2 linked regions of the Nothobranchius furzeri genome follow. The protein of the gene in region 1 interacts with the protein of each later gene in a pairwise test. Links are inferred from orthologs where the notes say so. Each region holds a gene or a part of one and is shown on either strand. Other genes may lie near its edges.

What was found. The genes of interacting proteins can lie anywhere in the genome.
Region 2: the proteins of numbl (region 1) and spsb3b interact in binary tests that used the Homo sapiens proteins (3 or more experiments, as listed by UniProt). The two-hybrid records come from large-scale screens. The link is inferred for Nothobranchius furzeri from reciprocal best matches to the Homo sapiens genes NUMBL and SPSB3.

What each region holds. Positions count from the first base shown.
Region 1 is NC_091753.1:64,892,621-64,896,803, reverse strand, and holds the start of numbl (numb-like protein), read left to right. Parts: upstream 1-1,383; 5' UTR 1,384-1,499; coding exon 1,500-1,540; intron 1,541-4,183. UniProt on the Homo sapiens protein: Plays a role in the process of neurogenesis. Required throughout embryonic neurogenesis to maintain neural progenitor cells, also called radial glial cells (RGCs), by allowing their daughter cells to choose progenitor over neuronal cell fate.
Region 2 is NC_091756.1:32,878,185-32,882,111, forward strand, and holds the start of spsb3b (SPRY domain-containing SOCS box protein 3), read right to left. Parts: upstream 2,801-3,927; 5' UTR 2,716-2,800; intron 1,032-2,715; 5' UTR 968-1,031; coding exon 800-967; intron 365-799; coding exon 181-364; intron 1-180. Other genes in the region: cytosolic Fe-S cluster assembly factor nubp2, read left to right, coding at 3,315-3,330, 3,590-3,705.

The sequences.
Region 1 (4,183 bases):
CTAATGTTACTCTGTGTGTGTGGCGACTCCTGGTCTCCATGAAAATCTTTTTTCCACACAAATTTATACGTTTTTAAAGTATTTAAATCATGACTGCTGCTATTTTCCGGCTCCCGAGTACACCGCCGTGTTGGATCTTTGTTTACCAAATGCATGCACCGCATTGGTCTAAAGCGATCACATGAGAGCCGCTTCACTACTTCCTCATTATGCTCAAAACAAACTCGTCCCGAATTAAAACGACGATTGTAATCAAATTGCAGGACTTTCAGAGGAGAAATGTAGCTTTTGAAACCAGGACGAATGTACTACTATTATGAAGCAAAGAACCACAAGAGCTCGGACGAGGGGTTCACCTCTTGGTCTGTATGTGCAACACGTGGCTCCACCCATCAGATGTTGGGTCTGCGTGTTATTGTGAAGCAGCTGATCATCTGACGCTGTGGGCTAAAGGTTGCTAACATGTGTGCATGCTTCTAGATGGGAGCGGTGATCAAACAGGTCCATGCTGTTCTTCATGCACTCATGCCGAATGTGTCTACCAAATGGTCATGTGATTGGTACAGCCCAGGTGACTAGTGACAGCCACGCTAAATGTCTGGAGACACCCGTATTCATCACTCCGTAACTTCTGTAACAATCAGCCTAGTCGACCACCTGACCCACAGTCTTAACCTTTCACTAGCATTGCTGACGTATGGATGCGATTCCTGTTTCTCTGGATTAGTCAGCCAAACCTCACGAGCGCTCCTGCTGTCCTCTGATAGCTCAGCTGTGGTCCTGGAGAGAAAGTGGCACTACTTCATCTTTTAGGAACTCTGCTGCACATCTGGGACTCGTCCTCCATCACCGAACATCCAAATGTCTCATCTTTGACCCCGTTCCCCAGGTCCCAGCCATGTCCTCGTCCCCTCTCCCAGTGCTCTCCCGACCAGTACATTCATGGCAGATAAAGAAATGGGATGTCAGCATCTGTCATGAATTCTTTAACCACCCTCTTCTTTCCTCGTCCACTCTGACTCTGGTTTTGTCCGCCCACTCCCAGGATCTGGATCAGTGATTTGTCTGTATTTAGAGCAGCTGTGAGCGCTCATGCATGTATCTGTTTGTGTTAACCAGACTGTTACGTGCGCCAGCCCGTGGGCTGTTCTCTGTGTTTGGGTGCATCTCTGAATGAGTGTTTGTGAATGTATCAGGACTCCTATTTCCAAGTTAATCCCCTAGGAAGAGGTGTGGTTCTCTCTCTCTCTCTCTCTCTCTCTCTCTCTCTCTCTCTCTCTCTCTCTCTCTCTCTCTCTCTCTCTCTCTCTCTCTCTTTCTCTCTCTCTCTCTCTCTCACTCACTCTCTCTCCAGCTCTTCACTCCCTCCCAGTACCATCACATGCTCACTCTCCCCTCTCCATCCTGTCTCTGTGCTGTTATTGTCGTGGCTGTTACTCTGAGGCAGAGCTCACCGTTTTTCTGTCATCTCTGCATCGTCTCTCATCTGCGGCGGTTCCATGAGCTCTTGGAACGAGATGGGGGAGGCCATCGAACTCAGGTGAGCCTGGCTGAGAGTGGGGAGGGGAGGCATATGCCTGTTGTAGAAGAATCACAGACATGTGTTTGTGTTTGCACGGATGTGCACCTGTTTCTAAGTGGGTCAGTTGTTGCCGTAGCGATCAGCTCTTTGGACTACTTTCCTGAGCCTCGTTTTTTCTTCTGCCTGTAACAATGACCCTAATCCAGTCCGGGGTGGGGTGGGGGTGTGTGTCCAATTTCTGTCAAGGCTAACAAGACATCTGAGACTTTTGTAGTAATGATAGTAGTGTTTTTTCCCCTTTCCTTTTGGTTTGTTGCTATTTTTATTGAGATGTACGCCTTGGTGACGTTTTCACTCTCTGCCAAATTGATAATAGATTTAGCCTGTATCGACAGGGCTCATAACAGTTAATAGGCTTAGCAGATGCACCAGACCCCATGTCCATATGGGGCAGATTAATGCTGCTAAACTGATTATTTCCCCTTTTTTGTTCAGCGCTGGATACCAGCTGTGTGTGTGTGTGTGTGTGTGTGTCTGCGTGCGTGTGTGTGTGTGTGTGTGTGTGTGTGTGTGTGTGTGTGTGTGTATGCGCTTGTTACAAGGTGTCAGTCAAATTTTTTGGCACCCATGTGACAGGCTCTGCTGCAGAGATGTTGGCCTGGTTTCAACATACTTGATATATTTGAATCTATAAAGAATTGTTGGTTTTAAGATTCTTAGCTTCAAACACAAACCGTTAAAACACCCCAGAACATAATTAGTTAGTTTAAACGAGTTGACTCCTTTTAATTATTTAAATCATCATATTGCTCGAAGTACAGGGCGAGGAGGAGGATTAGCAACCATTTTTCATTCAGACTTATTAATCAGTCCCTTACCAATTAATAGCTACAGTTCTTTTGAACATCTTATTCTTAGTTTTCTTAATCCAGATTGCAAAACTGTAAAACCACTCTTGTTTGTAGTTTTATATCGTCCACCAGGCCCTTACTCTGAGTTTTTGGATCAAATCTCTGATTTTTTTTATCTGATTTGGTGCTAAATACTGATAAGGCCATTATAGTGGGGGATTTTAATATTCATGTGGACATTGAAAATGATAGCCTCATTGTAGCCTTTAGTAATATCTTAGACTCAATTGGTTTTACCCAAAGAATACATAGCTCCACCCACTCCTGCCATCATACATTAGACCTTGTGCTGACTTATGGCATAGAGTGTGAGGAAATAACGATCTTTCCACATAATCCAGTCCTCTCGGACCACTTTCTGATAACCTTTGAGGTTTTATAACTGAGTTCTCGAGACATGAAAGTAAATTTCACTATAGGCGGTCTCTATCTGACAACGCAGTTGCATCTTTTAAATCAACTGTTCCATCTTTACTGTCCTCAGCATCTCAGAGGAACGTAGCAGAGGGCAATATTTTCATTTCTAGCCCCTCACAAATTGATGCCTTAGTTCATCATTTTAATTCCTCTTTACGTGTGGCATTAGATGATGTTGCCCCTTTAAAAAAAAGAAGGTAATTAGGGACAGGAAGTTGGCTCTCTGGTTTATTTCTCATTTACAAGCTTTAAAACAAAACTCTAGAAAATTGGAGAGAACATGGCGCTCTACGCACCATGAGGAGGCCTACCTATCCTGGAAAAATAGTCTTGTGCTTTATAAAAATAAGCTTTGACAAACTAGAACTGCTTATTTCTCAGCGTTAATTGAGGAGAATAAGCATAATCCTAAATTTCTTTTCAGTACAGTTGCTAAACTTACACAGAATCATAGCTCTGAACCATCTATTCCCTTAGCCCTCAGCAGCAATGACTTCATGGGAATTTTTACAAGTAAAGTTAATTCTATTAGAAACAAAATCTTTAGCATCCTCCCTAATGCGATTTCTTCTTCCTCAGTAAGTGAGGCAGCATCAGAGGTAACTGTAGAACCTCATCTGTGCTTGAACCGTTTTGATCCAATTGAGCTTTCAGAGTTATCAAAAATATTAGCTTCATCTAAACTTTCCACTTGCATTTTGGATCCAATCCCAACCAAATTATTTAAAGATGCATTTCTTTTGTTTACTGCCCCCATTCTAGATATAATCAATCTATCCTTAGTAAATGGATACGTACCACAGGATTTTAAGGTTGCTGTAATCAAACCTTTACTTAAGAAGTCTTCTCTGGTTCCAGATGACCCAATATCTAACCTTCCATTTTTATCCAAAGTCCTGGAGAAAATAGTGGCCATCCAAGTATGTGAGCACTTAAACACTTGGTTCTTGCTCATCCCTCGTGAGGGTGAGCGTCCTGAGAAAAAGGGAAGATGGCGCCGTCCACGGCCTGCCGTCTGCTCTCCCGATTGTTGTTTTTGCTTTTTATTTTCCTGTGTTGCTCTTTGGTGGATAGTAGCTCAAATTTTCGAGATGATCGGCTCCTTCTTCTTGAACTTCAGCATAAACTTGGATTTGCCTATCACCGCTGTTCGGATCTAAGACGGTCCTTCGCCCCGCTGTTTACGACGGTCCCAGCTCTGCTGCTTCGCTCTCCCCGCCCGGCGTGGCTACCAAGGAAACGCCGCAGACATGGTAAATGTGGGGGTTCCAAAGTGCGGCTCAGAGCCTCCTCCGGCCGTTCGTGCATGGGATGTAAACCTCACCTGTCACCA
Region 2 (3,927 bases), on another chromosome or scaffold:
AGACTTGGTGGAGTTTTTCTAATACATATGAAAACTATATATTTAACATTAAAAGACAAACCCGTTTTTTGTGCAGAAAGAAACATGACTGTTATGTAGAGCAGACGTCCACAAAGCATCACAAGCTTCCACAGTATGGTCAGACTGTGAATGTCTGTTCTTTCACAAAGCTGTCCTCACCCTGATCCTCCTCCCCACAGGAGCAGTCACTGTCGACCCTGTAGCCTCGCCCGACCTCGTCCTGCGGCACACAGTGGCAGAACGACTCCCCCGTCACCGGAGCTGTGCACGGTAGAGCCTCCAGCTTGGGTGTGGTGTGACATTTGTCCACCTCCACCTCCACTTCCAAGTCCAAGTCACTAAACTGTTTCACACAAAAAGCACATTTTAAGTCCTCAGATGTAGCCGTGCTTGATCCTTAGTAGCGAGGAGAGGGACTGGTTCTAGAATGTGAGGTTTGTTTTGAACATTTTTGTAATCCAACCAACAGCGGGGAGGCTTTTGTGGACAGCTTCTGCCAGAGATTGTACCCGGTAGAGAGGCTGAGATGAGAAAACCATCATTTAAATTCCTAAACGTGTGCGTCATGTGCTAACCTCTGATTAATTTGTGTTTTCTCCAAAAGGTTTCTACTTGTGTGTGTGTGTGTGTGATTTCCTCTGTTTACTTGTGGAGCACATCTATGATTTCACCTGTTCTAGCGACAAAACACTAGATTTAATCACTTCTTATCATCCAGAGGAACCAATTTCTTGCTCATCTAAGTGATATTTGTGATTTTCTGCACCTCTAGTCTCACCTGTGTCTCTGTCTGGCTCTGACACTCTTCGCCGTCAGTGGATTGGACATCTGTCTCCTGTCTCAGGTCACTCCAGGCCACGTGTCGAGCTCTGCTGTTTCTGCCTCTTCTCAGCATGGCAGCTCTACGGACAGCCGGCACAAGACTTGGTGACCAGCTGTCAAACATTCTGGAGGCTGTGCACTTCTTAAGGTCAGCGGTGATCTAGATCAGTGGTTCCCAAACATTTCCACTTCAGACCCAGAAAATAGCAGTTGTGAGCCCAGATATTTTTGATTTCACGACACAAAAATGCTTAAAAAGTCAAATAATTCAGGGCATAATAAAAACTGCTTCAGCTCATGTTCACTTACATCCATTTATGAGACGTTAGTGGAGTTTTTGTAACAATTATGCTAGAAATATAGCTTCAGTAATCGTTTTTCAGTTTTATTTTGACTTCTCGAAATCACCTCGAGACTGCCTGTATAGCTCTTGGTGACCCACAGTAGGGTCCTGACCCCAACTTTGGGAACCACTGAAAGATCCTAGAAAACTGTGAAATAAATCAAATTAGAATGTTTTTAGGTAGCTTTGGCTTTTAAAATCTTTTTGTACTTTTCAGTTGTGTCCGCCCACATTTTTCTTTATATTTCAAAATCCTGTCAGGCAGCTCAAAATGGGTCGGTTTGAAAATCTGTTAGTTTTGGTGCCTGGAAAGAGTCATGCTGAAGCTGCATGACATGCCAGTCAACATGAACGATCTGTGTGTCCTGGATCTCCTGCCATCTGCTCCCATATAGCACAGCTAGCAACAGGAAGTCCTTCCACACACGCTAAAACCTTTAAATCCAGTGCTTTCTACTGGAAGTCACTTGACCCAACATATAAGTCAGAAATCACAGAAAAGACCAATCTTATTCAACAAACTGCCACATTTTACACTAGAGGTGTAACAGCTGGGTTATTTAGTGAAAAGAAAAAACAGGAATGGCATCATTTTTAGACGTCTGAGTCTAATATCAATTTTTAAAAATCTTAGCTAATTTACTAAATGCAGAGTTCTGTTTATCTGATAACCAACCTCTATGTTGCATAGATTTAACAGATGTAATAGATTCATTTTAAAACGCTGAACTAGGGATGGACAATATATCGACATCAACAAATCGGTATTGGTTCGATAAATAAAACCGGGCCGATATTAACAACCGATAGTTTTTCCATCTTGTCTCCATTTGTTTGCCTGTTTCAGAGGGTGATGGGGTGACGTGTAATTGTTTAGTCGTGTGAACAGTGATTGTAATCATCTCAGAAGTGTAAATGTGTGTGGTGTGTGTACATAATAATGTAAATTCAGCTTTAATAATTTTCATTTTATACAAAATTGCTGATTTTAGAAGCGTTGGTGTCAGTATATCGGTTATCGGCCATAACAAGGATATTAATATCGGATATTGGTATCGGCCCTAAAATGTCATATCGGCGCATACACTGACCCCATTCTGTCCCTCGACCTGATGGAAATATTTCTGTTAATTCCAGTCCTGAACACAGCAGCTGGTTGCTGCTTCACAAACAGGTGCAGTGGATGGCTGCCCATTAATTCAGATTAGTCAGTCTAGAGCAAGTCTCATTTTAATTGAGCCTTACCCCATATCTTCTGAATGCATCAGCTGGAGGTTTGAGTATGGACAGAACACTGGTGAGTCAGTGTGCTCAAGGATATAGGAAATAAATTTAATAAACTCAAAGGCAGCTTTATTATAACAACTAAGACACAAACATTTAAGATGTTGTAGTCACTTTTAACTGTCCCGCTGCAGAATCGTACCTTCTAGTCACAACTTCACAGCTGCAGCGAGTTCTGCAAAAGTTCTGCTTCATCCTAAAACACTTTAAAGCACATGGTAACATTTGTGAGTCTATGCTCTTACCTTAAACTGGTCTTCTTATGCAGTCTAGCAGTAGCTCATTCGCCTTTCTGTGCGTCTGTGTGACAGCTGCAGTGAGCACCCTGCCCCACTTCCACACAGGATAGACGTAAACACAACCTTTGTGTTCCCATTGGATGAAACCTTTGTGGGGGAGGAGTTTGTGTACATCTTATTATTGCTTACGTCTGCTGCTCAATGACGCATCATGTGAGATGTGCTGACCTGAACATATTTTAACAACAAAACAACACTTTATACACAACAAAACGTGATATAAAATAATTTCTAAACGTATAATTTGTGTTATCCTTTGATGAATCAGCTGCAAAAGAATTTCAAATAAAATCGTGCTGAAAACTAAGAAAAAGTATCAGTTGGTGTGTAATCTACGGAAGCGTATTACTCTTCTTCCAACCATCGAATCTTAAATATTTTACAGTATGAGACGCACCTGAATCTATCATTTTCAAAACTAGTTTCTTATTGGTTGCATTTTTTTAAAGGCGGGGCCAAGATGCAGCATGAGCTGTGTGATTGGTGCGTGACTACGTACAGGAAGTGTTCTGTTACCGAACTCGTGTTAGCCCTAAATCTAAAATATGGAACAGAATAATGGTAGGTGGAGGATGTTTATCAAATAGAAACAAAATAAGTCCGGATTTCTTCTGAAATTTGTCAATTCTTACATTATCTGTTTAATTTTATGCCTAAAAAAGTCGAAGTATCTTATTAGCTTCAGCTAACTAGAGCTCCTTAAGATTAACTTGCTCTTAATTATCAAAGTGAAATGAAAGAGTTTATTGTTGTTATTATTTCGTCTCAGTTCATTGTTTCTTGTCATTGTGACGTCTTGGTTTTCTTTGCCTCACGTCAGACGGGAACTTGTCCCAGGTTCGTCATGTTGTTCTGGTGTTATCAGGGAAGGGAGGCGTGGGGAAGAGCACCATCACCACAGAGTTAGCCCTGGCTCTCAGACATGCTGACAAAAAGGTGAGCATATATCACATCTGTTTTTTTTTTTTTTTAACTCTGGTGACTCAGAGATGTCCTCATCTCATGGTTAGAGCAGCAAGTCATACCTTTCAAACATAAGTGTTCATGTCACCACCAATAACTTGTTTTCACCAATGCATTTCTCTCCAGGGGTGTCCCACAAATCTCCATACTTGGTCCTGTTCTTTTTCCACGGATTTTATCACTTTTACGTTTAAA